Canis lupus familiaris: one gene and its partners. Each later gene encodes a partner of the first gene's protein in a complex. Links are inferred from orthologs where the notes say so. Each region holds a gene or a part of one and is shown in the gene's direction. Other genes may lie near its edges.

Region 1 (5,137 bases):
ATGTCCTGTCCATGATGACTTTGGTCAGACATGATATTTAATGGTATCCACTGACGTTGCTTGGCCCAGTAAGATTAAAGAGCAGAGGAAATTCAAGGCTTAAAGCAAAAATCTCGGGGCACCTGGGTGGCTCAGTGGTTGAGCAACTGCCTTTGGCTCAGGTTGTGATCCCGGGCTCCTAGGATCAAGTCCTGCATTGGGCTCCCCACAGAGAGACGACTTCTCCCTCTTCCTATGTCTCTGCCTCTCTCTATGTGTCAAATAAACAAAATATTTTTTAAAAAAATAAAAAATAGGGCAGCCCTGGTGGCGCAGCGGTATAGCGCCACCTGCAGCCTGGGGTGTGATCCTGGAGACCCCGGATGAGTCCCACGTCAGGCTTCCTGTAAGGAGCCTACTTCTCCCTCTGCCTGTGTCTCTGCCCCTCTCTTTCTGTCTCTATGAATAAATAAAATCTTTAAAAAATAATAATAAAATAAAAATAAAGCAAAAATATCCACTATAGAGCCAGAGTTTGGTGCCAAAGAGTTGCCTTATTGTTTTAAGGTTGATATTGGACCATGGAGATAATTAACATTTGTTGATAACCTAACATGTGCTTTATATGTATTATCTATTTTAATCCTCACAATAATCTTGCAGAGGTAAGAAAACTGGTTCAGAGGGGTTGAGAAAGAATGACCAACGTCATAAAGCTAGTAAATGGTGGTTACTGGAATTTAATAATAGCAGTGACAGATAGCATTGCTTGGGGGTTTACCTGTGCCAGAGTTCTTCACATGAATTAGCTCACTTAATCCTTAAGTGCAACCCTATTAGTTAGGTACCATTGTCCCCACTCTACAGATAGGGAAACTGAGGCACAGAAAGAAACCTGGATCACACAGAGGGTGGTAGACCAAAGGCAGGCAGACCAATTCCATAGTCAATATTCTTAATCACCATATCATGCTGGATTTGAACTCATATCTTTCTACATTAAAAACTCAGGTACTGGGGCGCCTGGGTGGCTCAGCGGTTGAGCGTCTGCCTCTGACTCAGGTCCTGATCCCAGTCCAGGGATGGAGTCCCTCATCGGGCTCCCTCCAGGGAGCCTGCTTCTCCCTCTGCCTATGTCTCTGCCTCTCTCAGTCTCTCATGAATAAACAAAATACAAATAAAAACTCATGTACGTTTTACTATTCCACATTGTGACCTTGGAAAAGGAACTTTCTCTACTACCCGTAAATCGATCCAGTTCTATTTACGGACATCCTACCTCTAAGCCAGAGCTAAGGGGAGCTTTGCGAAACTCCATAGCTGTTAAACCTCTGCATCCCCGCCCATCCCAGGATCACCTTCCTGGAGAGAGAAGCCCAGGTCGCTGGGGCTTGGGAGAGTCCACGGGCCAAGACCCAACCTTCATTATGATGCCTTTAGATGCAAGAGGCATCCCCTGGAGCCTAGGCCTCGAGGGACCCGGTGGGTGTTTGGAAGGGCATGGGCCAGACCCCCTCTTGAATTTTCGGGTCCCCGCATTAGGCGCACTCTACGGCTTTCAAAGACTGAACTGTGGGCCCCGCTGTGCTCCCCTCCGCACCTAAGCTCCAGCCCCGAGAGCCCGCTCTCGTCCTTCCTGCCCCGCACTTCTCCACCCGCCTTGGCCCAGCGGGGAGCGCTCCCGGGCCAAATACCCACAGTCCGCACCCGAGGAGCCGGCCGGGCCGCAGAAGAAGCCCCCGCCGCGCGGCTCACAGCGCCTGCCTGCTTCCGGGCCCCAGCGGGACGCGGCCTTGCGGTTCCCATGGAAACCCCGCGGCTCGCCGCGTCGCGCTTCCGGGCCGGCTCGCGGCGCCCTCCAATGACGTCACAGGGCCACTTTCCGGCCGGTGGCAGAGTCGGGCTGAGGTTGGGGGGCGCCGGAGGAGCCATGGGGGCCACTGGCGACGCCGAGCAGCCGCGGGGACCCGGCGGGGCAGAGCGGGGCGGCTCCGAGCTGGGCGACGCGGGCGCAGCGGGGCAGCTGGTACTCACGGTGAGGGCGCCCCCGGGAAGGCCGGGGCCGGGGCTGGGGCTGGGCTCGGGCCGGCTGGGCCTCGGGCTCCCGGGACCCTGGCCCGCGGGCGAGAGAACGCGGCGGCTGGTGCTGCCCAGGGCGGTGGCGTTTTCGCAGTCCGACCACCCGGATTCAAATTCTGGTGCCGCCCTCCAGGCTAGGCGATGTGAGCCGGTCCTGTCACCTCTGAGCTCCAGTTTCCTCTTCTGTAAAATGGAGAGGATTGGTGCCTGCCTCGTAAAGTTGTTACGGGGATGGGGTGTAAAGGCGAGCAGAGCGCCCAGCACGCTAGCAGCCCCAGAGTGGTCCCTCGGTAAACACTGGTTCCCTTCCCTCTCCCATCCCAGAAAGGGTGGGGTTGGGACTTTTCCAGGCAGGAAACTTCAGTTCCTCCACCCCGGCAGGACCTTTCAACCGCTGCCCTCCCGCCTACCCGAGGGTGGGAGAGATGCTGACAGTACCTGAGAAGCAGAGGTGTCCACGTTTAACTTCATACTCACCGTCCACCTGTACCCTAGTGTCACAAGCCTCGGTGACATCTGTTCCCTTGGTCCCCACAGAACCCTTGGAACATAATGATAAAGCACAGGCAGGTGCAGCGAAGGGGCCGCCGCTCACAGATGACAACAAGGTAAGGCTGGGCCTGAGTATTGACCTCCCCGGCATTGATTGGCTTGGATGGCACCCTTGGGGTCCCCACTACACAGAGCTGAAGAGAGATCAGCAGCTGTTAGAAGGAGCAATGGACTAGGAAAAAGGAGACTCGGCTTTTGTCACTCTGGATGTGACCTTGGTTGAATCATTGCCACCTCTGAACTCTTGTACAAAATAGGAGGAATCATGAATTCAGCAGTGCCTAAGATCCTAACACTCACTCGCTCTGTGGTTGAGGGCTCTAAAGAGGCAAAATAGCATAGAGGTTTAGAAAAAAGTGGGGCTGGGGCACCTGGGTGGCACAGTGGTTGAGCGTCTGTCTTCAGCTCAGGGCATGCTCTCAGTCCAGGGATGGAGTCCTGCATCGGGCTCCCTGCATGGAGCCTGCTTCTCCTTCTGCCTGTGTCTGCCTCTTTCTATGTGTGTCTCATGAATAAATAAAATCTTTTTTTTTATTTTTTTAAAGAAAGAAGTGAGGCTAATAGTAGTATTTATCTCAGTGAAGGGAGAGAGCACAATGGACCCATGGGATCCTGATTAAATTTCTTGACCTGAGTAGTGATTAAGTGGATGTTCACTAAAACTATTTGTTAAAATGAAAAAAAAAAAAAAGTGTATAGACTTTGTATTTCATAAAACACTTTAAAAAATAATACTTATTTTGTAGGGTTCTTATGAAAATGGAATAAAGCCATACATATGTTTCATTTGCACAGAACCTGGGCACATAGCTTGTTTTCAATAGAAGCTATTACTGTTATTAAAGGAGCCTGTGTCAATAATTGGCTGGGCAGACTAGGAAAGATATGTTTGGGACATGACCCCTGACTGTGTCTCCCTCCTGAATGCAGTTTCACAGATCCTGCCATTTCCATGGACCTCCTTCGAGCTGTCCTGCAGCCTAGCATCAACGAGGAGATCCAGACGGTCTTCAACAAGTATATGAAGGTGAGAGGTACAGAGATGCAAGGGCAGACCTTTCCTACATTACAATCCCCCTCGCTCTTTTTGGTACAAACAGATGAGTCAGGTTTTCCAATTCTGAATCCCTGAGAACTTTTTTCGCCCTCTTTAGAGGTAATTTGAATACCTCTTTCGCCAAGCTATTATGAGGATAAAATAATTTAAGTTTAATGTGCTCTGCACCATGTTACAAACAAGTGTCTTTCTTATTTGTTTAACAGGATCAACATTATTATTATTTAAAATTCCTTTCTAGGCCTATAAATAAACTTCCACATGACTCTACCTGATTGTCCCCTAGATGCTTGAAACAGCATGTCCAGAGCTGAACTCTTTCTTCCTAAACCTCTTCCTCTTATGTTTGTTTATTCATTCAAGAAGCATGTACTGAGCACCCACCATTATAGCAGGCACTGAGGATGCAGCAGCAAACAAAATGAACAGTGTCTCTGCCCTCTTTAAACAAATAAGTACTATGCTAGGAAATGCCAGAGAGAAGGGGGAGAGAGTAACCAGTGGGGAACAGTAGTGCTGTTTCATAGATTGTGTCCAGGAAAGCCACATGTGAGCAGACACCTGAATAAAGGGAGAGAAAAACAAGCTGTGTGGACACATCAGGGGAAAACACCCCAGGCAGAGGGAACAAGAGCAGACACCCTGAGGCAGGAGTGTGCTTGGACACTCAAAGCAACAAAGTCTCGGGCAGCCCCAGTGGCTCAGCGGTTTAGTGCCACCTTCAGCCCAGGGTGGGATCCTGGAGACCTGGGATCAAGTCCCATGTCAGGCTCCCTGTGTGGAGCCTGCTTCTCCCTCTGCCTGTGTCTCTGCCTCTCTCTCTCTCTCTCTAATGAATGAATACATAAAATCTTTAAAAAAAAAAAAAGTCTCCAGTGTGGCTAGAGCAGACTGAGCCAGGAGGAGAATAAGGAGAGGTAATCAAAGAAAATAGGGGCCCAGTTCATGCAGAACCTTTGAGGCCATGGTAAGGATATTGGGGTTTACTCTGAGTAAAATAGAGGCCCTTTTAGACTTTTGGGCAGAGCACTGGATCTAAACTTTTTTTTTTTTTATCTAAACATTTTTTTAATATTTTTTATAGATTTTATTTATTCATGAGAGACACAGAGAGAGAGAGGCAGAGACACAGGCAGAGGGAGAAGCAGGCTCCATGCAGGGAGCCCAACGTGGGACCTGATCCCGGGTCCCCAGGATTATGCCCCGCCAAAGGTGGCGCTAAACCACTGAGCCACCAGGGCTGCCCTGATCTAAACATTTTTAAAGGGTCAGTCTGACTGATGTGAATCACCTGCAGGAGAATCAGTTAGGAGGCTTGAGAGGATAGTGGCTTGAGTGTTAGCAGTAAGGGTATTGGGAAAGAATCCCATTCCATATGTATTTTAAAGGGGTGTGGGAGGTTCAGTCAGTTAAGTGTCTGCCTTTGGCTCAGGTCGTGGTCTTAGGGTTCTCGGCTTAAGCCCTTCATCA
Region 2 (4,524 bases), on another chromosome or scaffold:
TATCCTGAGTGATGATCCTTGACATACAGGATGGAGGATGGGAAGCAGACTAGCCTAACCAAACAGCTGCTGGTGAGCCAGCGTGGGGCCCTGGGGATGGGGGTGTGTGGGCAGCAGCAGCCCTGCCCTGGCGCTCCATTCACAGACTCCACCTCCATCTCACTCAACCCAACCTACAGAACTCACCCTTCCCCAGGCTCCGGGTGGCCACCTCCCCCACCCCCCTCGCCTGGTGCCTGTGTACCCCCCACCAGGTACACGCTCTCACATGTGCACCCAGGCTCATCTGCCACGTGGGCCTCCCCTTCCTCCAGTCCCGGTGTCCCTGAGCTGGTGCCCTGGCTCAAAGGCAGCGGGCCCGTGGCTGGGGAAGGGGGGCCACCTGTGCCAGTCAGGGCAGGGGCAGCACAAGTGCACGTGAGCACCCGAAGGGCTCTCAGGCCCCCTGGAGGCACGTGGCCCTGCAGCCCCTCCTCGGCGCGGCGCCCTCCCCTGCCCCACGGGCACATCCTTCCTTCCTCTGTCTTGCTTCTGCACACGCAGACCTCTAGTTTGCTCTCTCACGCTCATTTGGAGAGGCAGAGCCAACTCCTGTAGCCAAGACGGCCCCCAGGCTGCCGCTTCACTGTGGCGCCCAGGGCTATTTTCCTTGAGGGGGCCGGGGGGCTGGCTTTGGGGTCTCTGCTCTGAATCGAGTTGGCTGTCAGGGACTGAGAGTTTAAAGGTGTTGGTTCTTTTTTTTTTTTTTTTTTAAGATTTTTATTTATTTATTCTTGAGAGAGACAGAGTCAGAGACACAAGCAGGCGCCATCCTGGGAGCCTGACGTGGGACTCGATCCCGGGTCTCCAGGATCACGCCCTGGGCTGAAGGCGGTGCTAAACCGCTGAGCCACCCGAGCTGCCTTGAAGGGGTTGGTTCTAAAGGTAGTTTCCGCGGCCCTCTGCACTCCCTGCCTGCTCAAATTGTCCCCGTGCCGCCAGGGCCAGAGTGACTTGGATGCCCACCCAGCCTCTTTCTCTCCCTCCACCGACTTCCATAAGTGAAGACGAAGGGGGTGCTCACGGGAAGCTCTGGCTGGCTGGCTTCAGGGCTGGGAGCTGAGGAAGGAAATGCAGGAGGAAGTCCCTCCCCTTCTGGGTGCTGGTGAAAGTGAAAGGCAGGTGGTGGGGAAGGGAGGGTGGCTGCAGTGAGTCACTGCTGCGCTGAGAGGGGAAGGGCCGGGGAGCTGCGGAAGCCTGTGAACGGGTGATAGGGGGCCTCGCACGGAGAGCCTGCCCTTGCCGCCCTGGCCCAGCCCTCCTTGGCTGGGCTGGTTTCCTGGGAACTCCGGGACTGCAAAGTAGGACCTGGAGCTTCTAGGGCCTGAGCTCTGAGGTTGGTCTGGACCTGCAGATTTATTCCCCCGGGCTTCCTGAGCTTCCCCTCCTCACCCCTCCTGGCCTGACTGGCTCAGGACCAGAATTTTAGCAGTGTGGGGAAGAGGGAGGTCGCGTAGCTCCCACCCTCACCAACTAACCAGGGAGGAAGGAAAAAAAAGCCCTTTCTGAAGAAAGACAAAGTCTTTGAAAATACATGTGAGTTACACATTTAGGTAATAAAAATACATGTAAATTATAAAATGCTGGTCTTGATTTTGGCTGTCCTGTAGCAGGATAAATAGAGCAACCTGTGTATTGAAGTTTTTTTAAAATCAAGTTAGAAAATAAACACAGACACTGTGAACAGTTAAAGTCATACCATGTCACAGAAAAACATTACAGGCCTAAATTCTAGCAATCTGCATCTCCTCCATGTTGCAGTGGCGCTAGTCCTTAGCTCTGGATACTGGGAGCTCTTTGGGAGGGGAGGAGAGGTGGGGATTGCTGACCAGGTACCAGGCTGGATCCTGCCCCCAGCCAGCCAGGGCTGCAAAACAGGTTCTGTGCTGGTTTAGGGAAGACTACGGCAGCCACAGTCCCACCCAGCAGCTCCTCCCAGGGGTGTTGCTAGAACACACACCCTTCTGCAGCCTCACCTACATGCCTCAGTGCAAAGGACGGGAGCCTAGCCCTGGGTGCTGCACTCTGCAAGGACGTGGTGGGCTCCCCTGCCTGGAACAACCGCATAGTTAGGAATGACCCCTGTTGTTTCCACTTCCTGCGTCTGAGATATGCTTGGAGCATCAGAGGAGGCACCGTCTGGATAAAACTTCTGGGTCTGGTGAGGAGGCTACTGCGTTGGACAGTTGTGCTCAGCCAATGGGTAGCCAGGCCTGGCCTAAGAGGAAGACTTTGTTGCACCTTTTCCCACCTTGGCTGCAGGGGCTTCTCCACCTGGGTCTCAGCCTCTCCTGTTCCCTGGCAGGTGCCTTTGTGTAGTGTACAGATCACACACCCAAATGCTGCAGGGTGAGGTGGTGGGATGAAGAGAGTCACAAAGCGCCGCCTTCTGGTAATTCCCCCGGGGCCCTGGCTCCTGCCTCACCAGGGCTGCTCTGTGAACTTGGGCCCCTCCCTCACATGTGTGCTGACATCTGGGGCATCCTGAGAGGCTGTGACTGACACTATCATTCTTCTGTCTGCAGGCTCCAGGGTCCCGTGGAACATCATGAACTGGGAAAAGTAGACAAGCCCAAGAGCCTCTCCACGAAGAGCAAGGAAGAGCCAACGGTTCTTTCTCCCTGTGTCTGACCTCATCCCTGCTCTGCCCCCACTGGCTCCTGGACAAGAGCTGGGCTTCCAGCAGGACCTTCCCACAGGGGATGGGCAACTGGTGAAGTAGGGCTCACCGCCAGGGCCCAGTTGGCCACACCATGAACCTCCAGGCCCAGCCCAAGGCTCAGAACAAGCGGAAGCGTTGCCTCTTTGGGGATCAGGAACCAGCTCCCAAGGAGCAGCCCGCACCCCTGCAGGCCCCACAGCAGCCCGCAGCTCCTCCACAGTCCACCAGAGTGAAGGAGGAGCCTTACTTTGGGCCCGAGGGTCCCGTAGGGGCCGCCCCCGTGTCCCAGCCCGTGGAGCTGCCCCCTCCCAACAGCCTGGCCCTGCTAAACTCCGTGGTGTACAGTTCCGAGCGGACCACGGCAGCCATGTTGTCCCAGCAGGTGGGCTCCGTCAAGTGGCCCAACTCTGTGATGGCTCCAGGCCGGGGCCCCGAGCGTGGAGGCGGTGGGGGTGTCAGTGACAGTGGCTGGCAGCAGCAGCCAGGCCAGCCCCCACCCCACACAACATGGAACCGCCACAGCCTGCCCCTCTACAGTGGACCCAAGGGGAGCCCGCATCCTGGCATGGGGGTCTCTACCTACTACAACCACCCAGAGGCACTGAAGCGGGAGAAAGGAGGTGGGCCGCAGCTGGACCGCTACGGAAATGCCGTGCGGCCAATGATGCCACAGAAAATGCAGCTGGATGTAGGGAGGCCCCAGACGCCTCTGAACTCTTTCCATGTGGCCAAGAAGCCCGCCAACCAGACACTGCCCCTGCAGCCCTTCCAGCTGGCGTTTGGCCACCAGGTGAACCGGCAGGTCTTCCGGCAGGGCCCACCGCCCCCCAACCCCGTGGCGGCCTTCCCCCCACAGAAGCAGCAGCAGCAGCAGCAACAGGCCGCCCTTCCCCAGATGCAGCTCTTTGAGAACTTCTATCCCATGCAGCAGCCACCCTCTCAGCAGCCCCAGGACTTTGGCTTGCAGCCGGCCGGGCCTCTGGGGCAGTCCCACCTGGCTCACCACAGCATGGCGCCCTACCCCTTCCCCCCCAACCCTGACATGAACCCGGAACTTCGCAAGGCCCTCCTGCAGGACTCAGCCCCACAGCCTGTGCTACCTCAGTCCCAGATCGCCTTCCCCCGACGCTCTCGCCGCCTCTCTAAGGAGGGCGTCCTGCCTTCCGCCCCCCTGGATGTGGCTGGCACCCAACCTGGACAGGAGCCCACCAGCAACCTGTTCCTACACCCCTGGCCCCCACAGCAGCCACCACCCGGCCCCTTGGGGCAGCCGCATCCTGAAGCTCTGGGATTCCCACTGGAGCTGAGGGAGTCGCAGGTGCTGTCTGAAGGGGAGAGACTGGCACCCAACGGTCGGGAGCGGGAGGCTCCCACAATGGGCAACGAGGAGAGCATGCGGGCAGTGGGCACTGGGGACTGTGGGCAGGTGCTACGGGGTGGGGTGATCCAGAGCACTCGACGGAGGCGCCGGGCATCCCAGGAAGCCAATTTGCTGACCCTGGCCCAGAAGGCAGTGGAGCTGGCCTCACTGCAGAACGCAAAGGTGAGAGTGGCATGGGATGGAGGCCTGACCTGGCAGAGGGCAGGGTGAGCTGTGTCTGGGGCCCGGGGAGAGCAAGTGATTGCAAGTCTACAGGGCAGTCTCCTCATTTCATTGAAGGAAATTGAAAGAACCCATAGGCTTCTGGGAGTTCTGAACTCCCTGTGTGCAAAGAACATAGGTCGTTCATCCCGAAGGAAAGATAACATTTACACACGCAGGTTGGCAGGCGATACGCTATCATGGGTTGGCTTCTTCATTTGGCACATGAGGGATTGGGAGT
Region 3 (5,307 bases), on another chromosome or scaffold:
GGAGCCTGCTTTTCCCTCTGCCTGTCTCTTTCTCTCTCTGTGTCTCTCATGAATAAATAAATGAAATCTTAAAAAAAAAATTCCATATTCTAAAATGTTTGCTATATAAGTAAAAAAAAAAAAAAAAAAAAAACTCTCCTAAATTGAAAGGTGTTTAATTCCTGTCTTTGCAGAACTTACAAGGCGTTACACAATCCATGCCTAGTATACCCTTTTCTTTGTCCACATAGATGCAGCCACATTGGTCTCTGTTATTATTCAAATGGATCCACGTCTTCCTGTCTCAGGGCCTTTGCACTTGCTCTTCCACCAGCTATTTTTAAAATCTTTTCCTTCAGGTCTCTGCTCAGTGTAACTTCACCAGAGAGACCGTCACTGACCTGTTATCAAATAGCATCCTCTGATAATCTCCGTTCTCTTTTCTTCTTTAAAGTATAACCACATTGCATTCTAAATGTATTTTCCTGTCTCCTACTGGAGGTATGCTCTTCAGTCCCAGAGTCACTAAGCTACCTGTGGCTCTACTCAAAATGTGACTGCTCTGGATTAAGATGTCCAGACTTTCCAAAAAAAAAAAAAAGGAACTTATTAAAAATTTTGTATTGATTACATGCTGAAATAACATTTTGTGTTTTTTTTTTACAATTTTATTTTTTGACACACAGAGAGAGAGCATAAGTAAGCAGTGGTAGGCAGAAGAAGGAGAAGCAGGCTCCCTACTGAGCAGTGTGACCCATGCCAGGCTGGATCCCAGGGCCCTGAGATCACGACCTGAGCCCAAGGCAGGTGCTTAACCAACTGAGCCACCCAGGTGCCCCAACATTTTGGTTTAGGTTGTACTATTAAAGCTAATTTCATGTCATTGCATCCTGTATCATTTGGACAGCGCTGCTGAGAACACAAGCTCGAGCGGGAATGTGCGTCTGACTCAGACATTGCTCCGTCTGCTCTATCTCAGATCAGAAGCTCAATAAATATTTGCTCAATGAAGGAATCCAAAAGTAGAATGCTGGTCTTTTTCTTATCCTCTCTGTTCCGTCCGTCTAACCCAGGGATCAAAAAAAAAAAAAAATCAAATCAACAAAACTTTACTGAGATATTATTTCCATAAAATCCAACCTTTTCTAGTGAATTCAGCACGGCGTGCAACCACCGCCGCTCACTTCTAGAATCTTTCCATCACCCCAATCAGATGCCCTTATGCTCCGGTACGGGGGGGGGGGTCCCCATTCCCACCCAGGCGCCTGCAAAGCTGCTCTCGAACTCCTCAGATGGTCGGGGTTCACTTCCTAGGGGATGAGTTGCCCGTCTTGGGGGCTCTGGGGTAGCACCCTCAGGCCACGGCTCACCCCGGTCCCATCCCTCCGCCCAGCAGGACCCAGCGGGGAGCTGGACCCCCACCCCCACCCCCACCCCCGGCACGACGGGGCCGCGTAGCCGCATCTTCCCAGCCCACCGAAGAGCAGGTCTTCGCGGCTCCCGCTCGCGCCGCGGCTGCCTCGAGGGACCCCGAGACCCGGCCGGGCGGGACCCCGCCCTTGCAGCCCCCACCGCGGGCCACCGCAGCTCGGAGCGGCCGCTGGGAGCCCGAGTCCCCCGCCGCTGCGTTCTAACGCCGCCCTCCAGGAACAATGGCCGGAGCCGACCGACTCCGGGCCTCCGCGTGCGGGTGTCGGGGAGCCCGGAAGGCCGGCCCCTCGCCACCCCCGTCCCCGCCCCCGCCGCAGGCCCTTCCCGGGCTCCACTTTGACTCTCTCCCAGCCTCAACTGCCCCCCTCGCAAAATGGCGACCAACCGCCTCCTTTCCCGCCTGCCGTCGGTCACCTGACCGCACCAAGCCCCGCCCCTCGCGTGGCCCCGCCCCCTCCCGTCCGAGGCCCAATAGCTGCGGAGACCTCGCCGCCGGGCGGCACGCGCCGGGAGCCCGGGCGGCGCGAGGGGCGCGCGAGGCCGCCCTGGGTGTCGTGGGGGGACCCGCAGCCACGCACGCGCGCCCCCGCCGCGGGTGAGCGGGCCGCTCCGGGGGCGGGCTGAGGTGCGCGTGCGCGCCCGGAGGCGGGCGGCGCGAGGGGGGCAGGGGGCCGCTGGGAGGCCCGCCCGGCGCGAGGCTCGAGGCCGGCGCGCGAGCCCCCGGGGGCGGGTAAAACCCGGTTGCTGCTGCCCCTGCCCCCTCCCTTTCCTCCCTACCCCCCCCTTCCCGCCCCTCCTCACTTTTCAACCCCTCCCCCCCCTTAAAATCTAATTCGTTTATATATTTGTTTTTTAGGGGGCCCATCTCCCTTTCGAGGAGCGCAGCAGGCGCGGCGGGCGCCCCTCACCCCGCGTCACGCACGCACCTTCTGCACCCCAACAGCTCCGGGCCCCGCTGCACCCCGCAGGCCCTTCGCCCTTGGAGAAGGCTCTCCTGGGGGGGCCCCTGGCCCACTGCATCCCCTTCCTTACCTCCCCCGCCCCGCAGGCCCCAACTGCCCCCTCGCAGCCCCCCCCCGGCTCGCGCCTCGGGCCCTACCGACCTCGGCGCTTTCTGCACCGCGGCCTTGCATTCGCTCTAGCTTCCAGGCCTTCTGCTAAAAATCACCTTTCCTCCTGAATAGGGGACCCGAATTTTTCTTTTAGGATCTTCCAGCAAAACCAAAAATCTCTTCTCTTCTTTGATTATACCCTTCAACCTCCTTTTAGAAACTTTCTCTAGCAAAAAAGAATATAAATATATATATATATTTTTTTCTTTTCTGGATTTTTCCTCCATTCAGGATCTCTTTCCAGCAAAAATTTTCTGCCCACCAAGAGCCCCCCTTTTTGTCCTATCTTTCCACTGATAGCAGAGGAGCTCTGTTCTTCCAGTTTCTCATGTAATACTTGTTTTTCCAACGCTCTTCTCGACCTCTTCAGCAAAAATCCCTTTTTTGTCCATCACCAGTTTTACCCCAATTAGGCTTTTCCCAGCAAACCCCTCAGGTCCCTTCCCTAGGAAGGAAAGTAAGGAAAAGACAAAAATAACTCCCTTAACTGCAAAACCCTTTCCCTATCTAGATCTCCCCAATTTAGTATTGCTTCCTTCCTTCTTCCAAAAATTGCCTGTCATCCCCACAGTTTCACACCTGTGTGCTTGCTTCTTTGGGGACCCAAGTTCTGAATGCCCCTTCCTTTCCACCAGCTGCTTTCAGGACACAAGAAGTTGGATGAGTGTCCTGAATTTGCTACCCGGAGTTCCAGGAGGAAATATCCAGTGGTCTGACGGTCACCTGAACCCCCTCCCTGTGGGTCCTAAATTGGGCCCTCCTGTTCCCTGGAGATTCACTCATTTGTTCTTCTCCTGGTGAGTTTTCCCCTTTGCCCCTGTCCACAGATCCCTTCTTTGTCAGGATTCCTTCCTTTCTCAGAAGGATTTCTAATTGGCCCAAGTCTCTGTACCGATGATGAAACCATTATAAGTTTCTGCTTTGTGAGGTCAGATAAGGAAAAGGTTATGTATAGTGCATATTGGTAAATGCCTGCAGTGTGATGAACCAAAGGTCACGTGCCCCATCTAAGTGATACCAGTCAGTGGAAATGCCAGGACAGTGTTGCCAGAACTTTAAAAAAAAATTGTTTTTGAGAAGAGACACTATATTTATGTCAAACCTTTTGATCTGTAAATGGTGACAATGAATTTAATAGGTATTTAAAGGCAGTGTGGAGCCCTTACAAAACATGCCAGCTGGCCACCAGTTTGGAATATTTGGTTTAGGGTTTCTTTCTGTGTAAGACTTGCATACACAGATACTCACCCACTTGGGCACATGTGGATGCAGGACTTTTCCTCTTTACAGCCACAGTTCTCTAGCTTTTTGATCTTAGGGCTCCCCCCCTTATATTTAAAAATCATTGAAGATCCCAGAGAATTTGTGCACGTGAACTCTATACTGCTGATATTTGCACTATTAGAGGTTTAATACGTTTTTAAAATACTTATTCATTTATTTATTTATGATAGTCACACAGAGAGAGAGAGAGAGAGGCAGAGACATAGGCAGATGGAGAAGCAGGCTCCATGCACCGGGAGCCCAACGTGGGATTCGATCCCAGGTCTCCAGGATCAGGCCCTGGGCCAAAGGCAGGCGCCAAACCGCTGCGCCACCCAGGGATCCCTACTTATTCATTTAAAAATAAGTGATAAGCTTATTATGTTAACAAAATTGACTATTTTAAATATTTTTTGAAAGATGATATTTCAGAAAGAAATTTCGTGAGAATAGTGGCATTGTCTTACCTTTTGGAGTCACCTAGAATCTTATTTCTGCTACTGCATTCAGCCTTTTGAAATATTCCCTGTAGCTTCTGGAAAGTCTCACTGAGAATGAAAAAGGCAGGTAATGTCTGAATATTATTATGAAAATAGTTTTGACTCGAAGAATCCCTGCAAGACTCTGAGGACCCCCCAGGTTTCCCACCCCCATCCGCCTCACTTGGAAAACCTGCTGTTCTAGATGTTAATGCTTATTTGTATTTTATGCTAGGATCAGCTTTTGGAATGAGAAGGCTTGAGGTCTCTTTTCCTCCCTTAGTTAATTCTATGTGAGAAATTTTCTTAGAAAGCATAGTCATAGTTTTCTGATTCCTCCTTGTCTTCTATCTAGTTCTTAATGTGAGCTGTAAATCTGTTCTTTTAATGAGCAGAAGAGATGAGTTACCCTAATGGTTTAAATTATAATGGTTACATGATCAAGGGAGGGAGTGTTCTTTGGTTGTTCAGCTTAGGAAAGGACGTACGGCACATGGGGCAGGAGTCCCAGTCTCAGGTGTGGAATCCTACCATAGATGAGTGGTTACATGTGACGGTTTTGACATCAGAATACCCGGGGTTGAATTCTAACCTTGATCTTGGGCAGTTACTTAACTTCTCTGGGCTTTATTTACCTCATCTGTAAAAACAGGGTTAAGAACAGAGGATGTGCCTCAAAGGAGTGTTGTGGGAATTAGATGATCCATAAGTGATTCCAGGAGTGCCTGGCATAGGACAAAGCCTCAAGTGTGTGCTGCTATTGTTGGTATCTATATTGATCATAATTATAGGGGCCAGACAGGAAGAAAGCAAGGATCTTTGGGAACATCTGTTCAGAAATGGCAGTTATCCCTCATCTCTGTCCTACTAATAACTATCACGAAATGCAAAATCTAATAATTTTCAAGAAAAGCCAGAAATTAATATATCTAGTTGAAATCTCCCCATTAAAAAAAAAGTTGGTGAATGGGACGCCTGGGTGGCTCAGCAGTTGAGCATCTGCCTTTGGCTCAGGGCATGATCCCTCCCTGTCCAGGAATCGT
Region 4 (5,258 bases), on another chromosome or scaffold:
TGTATCTAAGCTGTTCCAAACACACTTGAAGTCTTTACAATAACTGAAATCTGTTTTTTAAATTTAAAGTTAAATTAACAGTTTTTCAGTAGAAATAACCACATTTCAAGCTTTCAATAGGCACATTGGGCTATCAGACACCCTACTGGAGAGTGCAGCTTAAAAAACAAAACACAAGACGCACCTGGGTGGCTCAGTGGTTAAGCATCTACCTTGGGCTCAGGTCACGATCTCAGCGTCCTAGGATGGAGTCCCGCATGGGGCTCCCTGCAGGGAACCTGCTTCTCCCTCTGCCTGTGTCTTTGCCTCTCTCTCTCTCTGTTTCTCACGAAGAAATAAAATCTTAAAAAATAAAAAGGGTAACACAACATACTTACCATGCAGCATCTTCCTTTTGCTCATTCAATTTACGTAATAATATCTTAACGTTTTGTTTTTGTTTTTGTTTTTTGTTTTTCCCTTTGCCATAGCCTAGAACTGAAAAGCACAGACGGAATGGATGGCTTTGAATTTCAGGGCAGATGACATTTAGGTTTTTTTAAAAAATCATCTATCACTAAATTCACTCAGCAAGCCTGAAAGAACTTGCAAAAGAACCTGGTTCGTATTTTTATTTAAGCCAAAGGACGGCTAAACAGGACACATCCGATACAGTCACAGTGACGCGCAGCAACCGGCAAAGGCGCACGCGCTCCTATCAGCCGCTCCATTCCCCGGCCCCGCCCCCTACAAGCACGCGCCCACGGGCACGCACGCGCACTCACGCACTCTACACGCACAGGCGCGGGCGGATACACACACACACACACGCACGCACGCACTCTACACGCACAGGCGCGGGCGGATACCCCAGGAAATGCGGGTTCTTTCTGGCCTTTCACTCCGCAGAGAGAACGCCGGGAAGTTTCCGAGGAGCACTCACGCTAACTATATCGGGGCTCCACGTCCCCCTGGACAGGGTCCTGGATCCCACTTTTCTCTAGGGCCTTTAGAAGAGAAACGGTGAAGGTTGGGTGGGGGTGGAGGCGGAAAGAAGCCGCTCCACCGCAGGAAGCGGCCAACTTTGATCGCCCCAAAATGAAACCCGATCTTCGCAGGAACGTGCAAGGATTTAAAAACGGCCTTCAGCTGAGGCACTTGGGAAGCGGCCCTGTCACGGTCGAGGTCGGAAGGGCGTTTTTGCCTCAGCTGGTGTGTCAATGAATGGAACTGTGACCCGGGACCTGCGGCATCTCCCGGACCCGAAGAGCGCCAGCTTCCCCGAGTTCTCCTTGGTTTGGGTGTCCCACAAAAGCATGGCCACACCAAAAATTCTTTTTCCACAGTAAGAAAACGGCCCCGAAACTTTTTCACGCCGCACCTTCCCTCCTAGCTTCCCGCCCAGAACATTTTGCGCCTCGCCTCAGGAGCGGGGTGGCCGCTTTGTCTAGTAGAACGCCAACACTGCAGAATCCCGGTAGCGAAAGACGGAGCAACTTCCTGGGAGAGACTAGAAGCGAGAAAACATCACCACCCCTAACCACACGCCCCTGTTTTCCCACTGACTTAAAATAAATAAATAAATAAATTAGCAGCCGAAGCCCTGCCCGTCGCCGCGCGATGCATGCTAGCATAAGTAGTTCCAAGGCGCCCAGTTCGGGGTGGAACTCAGAGTGATTCCCCCTCAAAGAACTACAATTCCCATGGTGCCCTGCCACACAGTGGAAGGGGCGGGGCAGGAGAGGGCTCGTCGCGCGTGCGCAGGTCGGGGGGCCGGAGGGAGGCGGAGGCGCCAGGGTCCAACTGCTGAAGCGTCTCCATGTGACAGTGACCGGAGTCCTAACTCCTGGCGCCGCCCGGTTCTGGCTTCTGACCCCAAACGCTGTCCCCCATCCCGGCGCCAGCGGACAACAGCAGACCGGGACGCCTGGTGTGTGGCGGTGCCGCTGGAGGAATCGCCCCGGCGGGGTCAGGTGTCTGAGGGACCCCGCGGAGACCCCGGAGTCTCCGCAGAGAGGGGGAGCGGCGAGCCGAGCGGGGGTTTCTGTCGGCACGCGGAGACATGAATGGCTTCACGCCTGAGGAGATGAGCCGCGGCGGGGACGCGGCCGCCGCAGTGGCCGCCGTGGTCGCCGCCGCCGCCGCGGCCGCCTCGGCCGGGAACGGGGCAGGGGCCGGCGCCGGGGCTGAGGTGCCGGGTGCCGGGGCGGTGTCGGCTGCTGGGCCCCCGGGGGCGGCCGGGCCGGGCCCCGGACAGCTGTGCTGCCTGCGGGAGGACGGAGAGCGGTGCGGCCGGGCGGCGGGCAACGCCAGCTTCAGCAAGAGGATCCAGAAGAGCATCTCCCAGAAGAAGGTGAAAATCGAGCTGGAGAAGAGCGTGAGTGACGGCGGGACGGCCATGCCCTGCCCTGCTCTGGGGCTCCCGGAGCGGTGCCGACCGGGGTTCAGGGGCGGACGGTTCGGGGGTCCCCTAGACCTGGCTGTGGCGCGAGCCCGTCGCGTGGTCTCGGGTAGGACGCGAACCACAAAGTCGCCGCAACTCGGACCGCCTCCCCCGCAGACCCACGCCAGCCGGCCGCGGGTCCGCTGCTCCCCCCGCCCCCCCCCCGCCTCCTCTCCCTCGCGTGCCCACCCCCACCCTTCCTACCCAACCCCCGCGCACCCCCACCCCGTTCCGGGTGTCCGCCCTGCTCGCCGTCCAACCCCTTCCTCCTTCCCTGAGGTCGGGACACGAAACAAAGAGCACCGCGGCTCGGAGGGCCCGGAGTAGTTTTCTTGCAGCCTGTCCGCTCCTCCTTTGTTTTGCTGCCCAAGCTGGCGCGTGGCCCCGGGGAGCAACCCCCGGCTGTAGGCAAAAGTGTAGTCCTGCAAGCGAGGCCCTGGTGCCGCGGTGGAGACCGACTCCTCTGCTCGTCCGCCGGGTTGCGGAGGGAAGAGAGCCGAGCTCACCCCGCGCGGTGCAGACCGCCGGGCTGGTGGACGCCGCCAGCATCCAGCGCAGCTGCCGGGAATGTGGGGAGCCCGCTGCCTCTGCGGCGCTGCCACCCCTTCGGCAGCATCCGGATTTCCTTTACCGTCCTTGTTGTACACGTCCGTTTCTTGTGTTTCTTTGACCATCTGTGAGGTTTTCAGAAACAACCATTGGCACTTTGCGGAGTTTTGGCTGGCGGTGAATGGATAACAAGATGCCAGAACCTAGCATACGCCCTGCATAATTTTAACTTGGACTTCGTTTACAAGTTAAATTTCAAAGCCTTAGTCTTTAATCGCTTGTTGTTGTTGTTTTTTAAAGGAGTTTAAACTGTTAATAATGCAGCCCAGTATTTCAGATGTTACCATACAGCGCTCAAGACTACATTTAATTGAAGCTTTTGCAAAGTTTGTGATCTATTATGCCTGTTAAAGAGTTCTTCAGTCATGCTTGGGAGACACTTCTCAAGTAAACTTGAATAGTTTCACATTGCCTTTGGTTGAAAAAAACGTAATACAGACAAATACATTCATTAAATACTCAGAAGCTTGTAATTCAGATGTAAATATAAGTAGTATATGAAATCGGTAGCTCGTTTGTAAAAATGGATAGTTTTGTATCTGGATTATAATTTGAGTACTGAGAAAGGATATGAAGCTACTAAAATGTGCTCTTTAGAGAAAATACTGTCAGTAGCAGAATTGTGGGCAACATCATCTTTCCACTTATTAAAAAAACAGCGTGACCTAACAAATCTAATTCACCCTCACTACAGTTTAATTAAAAAATCCAGACAATTGCAATTTCTCATTCTGCTTGTCTGCTTCCCTTCCTTCCTTCCTTTCACTCCTCCCCACCCCACTCTCCAATCCTCTTAACCCTATTGTCAGACACGGTATGTTCTAACTGAATACAGGACTTAAGCATAGAAATATGCTGTTGTCTTAACAATGGCCTATTTTGACTTTTTATTTTTAATAATTCACTGTGCCCTATGTATTTTACTAATACGTAGACACGTTACATAATAATAAGTAGTCTGTGAAACTTTTTTGTTTTAGGCAAGGCATCTTTACATTTGTGATTATCATAAAAACTTAATTCAGAGTGTTCGAAACAGAAGAAAGAGAAAAGGGAGTGATGATGATGGAGGAGATTCACCTGTTCAAGATATCGATACGCCAGAGGTAAAGTTTCTGTATGTTAAATGTAAATCCTAAGTATTCCATTCTGAAACTTCTATTAAAAGATAGGAACAAATTTTAAAAATACTTAATGCGAAAAATCTGAAAATGAAAGCAAAATTAAATATAGCCAATTAATAGGCAGTTGTAGTTTGACTTATGTTTTCAATTCACAATGCTTATACCTCTATTGCCTTCTTTTTTTGCTCCCAGTTCTCAGTATTTACCTTCAAAAGATTGAAGTGCTCTATATATTTGTAGTTTTGATTATGTAAAAGAAGTAATGGAATGGAATTAATTAAATAATGTAATTTTTGTTACTTAATTACATTTTTGTTGTACCAAAATTGAAATGCTATTATGCATATCAAAGATAACAATTTAAAAATTGCATGAACTAATTCTTACATGTTTATTTTTTCTAGGTTGATTTATACCAATTACAAGTAAATACACTTCGGAGATACAAAAGACACTTCAAACTATCAACCAGACCAGGACTTAATAAAGCACAACTTGTTGAGGTATTTATGAAGTTTTAAATGAGCCTGTTTATATAAAAAAGTTATTAAAGGCTAATGAAATTGTTAATGTAGTACGTATAACAATACAGCTCAGTTAGAAAGATCAGTTAATAAAAAATCTATTGTGGAAGAATCTAGTTTCCTAGAAATGTTTGTCTGTCTCTTAAATTGCTTTATGTAACAACCACTCAGTGGATTGTATGTAGCTTTCTAAATATCTTTTAATACTGGCTTTCAGAAATAGCGGGTAATAATTTTTAAATTCTCATTCTAGAAATCTGTTGGTTTTAAAATTCCACTCAGGAAGCATTTTTTGAATACCTTATTGAGGCATAATAAAAGAAATTGATAAGCTTTGTTGTCTTTATTATAAATTTTTTGAGTTTTTGATGGATTAGGTCTACAGATTAGCCCATAAATAGTATTCCTATAACTTGTTGATTTAACGATTTCAGAATTTGTCTTTGGTGATGTTAGCTTGTTTTATTAGAGGCATCTATGCCTTCACATCTGGAAGATGCAAAGTTTTTTTTTTTTTTTTAAGAGTTTATTTATTTACTTGAGAGAGATCTGAGAGAGAGAGCATGAGCAGGGAGAAGA

The links.
Region 2: the proteins of DNTTIP1 (region 1) and MIDEAS are in contact, whole or in part, in a cryo-EM structure (PDB 6Z2J), measured with the Homo sapiens proteins. The link is inferred for Canis lupus familiaris from reciprocal best matches to the Homo sapiens genes DNTTIP1 and MIDEAS. Residues at the interface, in NP_443183.1 of Homo sapiens: Pro63, Ser66, Leu69, Leu70, Ala72, Val73, Leu74, Pro76, Ser77; in NP_001036783.1 of Homo sapiens: Gln768, Asp771, Leu772, Thr774, Ala775, Ser778, Ser779, Ile802, Leu803, Leu806.
Region 3: DNTTIP1 (region 1) and ZNF541 share a complex: the UniProt entries of both Homo sapiens proteins name them as parts of the histone deacetylase complex. The link is inferred for Canis lupus familiaris from reciprocal best matches to the Homo sapiens genes DNTTIP1 and ZNF541.
Region 4: DNTTIP1 (region 1) and SAP30 share a complex: the UniProt entries of both Homo sapiens proteins name them as parts of the histone deacetylase complex. The link is inferred for Canis lupus familiaris from reciprocal best matches to the Homo sapiens genes DNTTIP1 and SAP30.

What each region holds. Positions count from the first base shown.
Region 1 is NC_049245.1:33,724,330-33,729,466, forward strand, and holds the start of DNTTIP1 (deoxynucleotidyltransferase terminal-interacting protein 1), read left to right. Parts: upstream 1-1,871; 5' UTR 1,872-1,909; coding exon 1,910-2,014; intron 2,015-2,595; coding exon 2,596-2,666; intron 2,667-3,540; coding exon 3,541-3,637; intron 3,638-5,137. UniProt on the Homo sapiens protein: Increases DNTT terminal deoxynucleotidyltransferase activity (in vitro). Also acts as a transcriptional regulator, binding to the consensus sequence 5'-GNTGCATG-3' following an AT-tract.
Region 2 is NC_049229.1:47,302,038-47,306,561, reverse strand, and holds part of MIDEAS (mitotic deacetylase-associated SANT domain protein), read left to right. Parts: exon of another isoform or gene 1-72; intron 73-2,564; 5' UTR 2,565-2,792; coding exon 2,793-4,244; intron 4,245-4,524.
Region 3 is NC_049222.1:109,165,190-109,170,496, forward strand, and holds the start of ZNF541 (zinc finger protein 541), read left to right. Parts: upstream 1-1,960; 5' UTR 1,961-2,005; intron 2,006-2,099; exon of another isoform or gene 2,100-2,140; intron 2,141-2,274; exon of another isoform or gene 2,275-3,157; 5' UTR 3,158-3,319; intron 3,320-4,252; exon of another isoform or gene 4,253-4,333; intron 4,334-5,307. UniProt on the Homo sapiens protein: Transcription regulator which is essential for male fertility and for the completion of meiotic prophase in spermatocytes.
Region 4 is NC_049246.1:24,119,800-24,125,057, forward strand, and holds the start of SAP30 (histone deacetylase complex subunit SAP30), read left to right. Parts: upstream 1-1,727; 5' UTR 1,728-2,041; coding exon 2,042-2,356; intron 2,357-4,011; coding exon 4,012-4,137; intron 4,138-4,559; coding exon 4,560-4,658; intron 4,659-5,258. UniProt on the Homo sapiens protein: Involved in the functional recruitment of the Sin3-histone deacetylase complex (HDAC) to a specific subset of N-CoR corepressor complexes. Capable of transcription repression by N-CoR.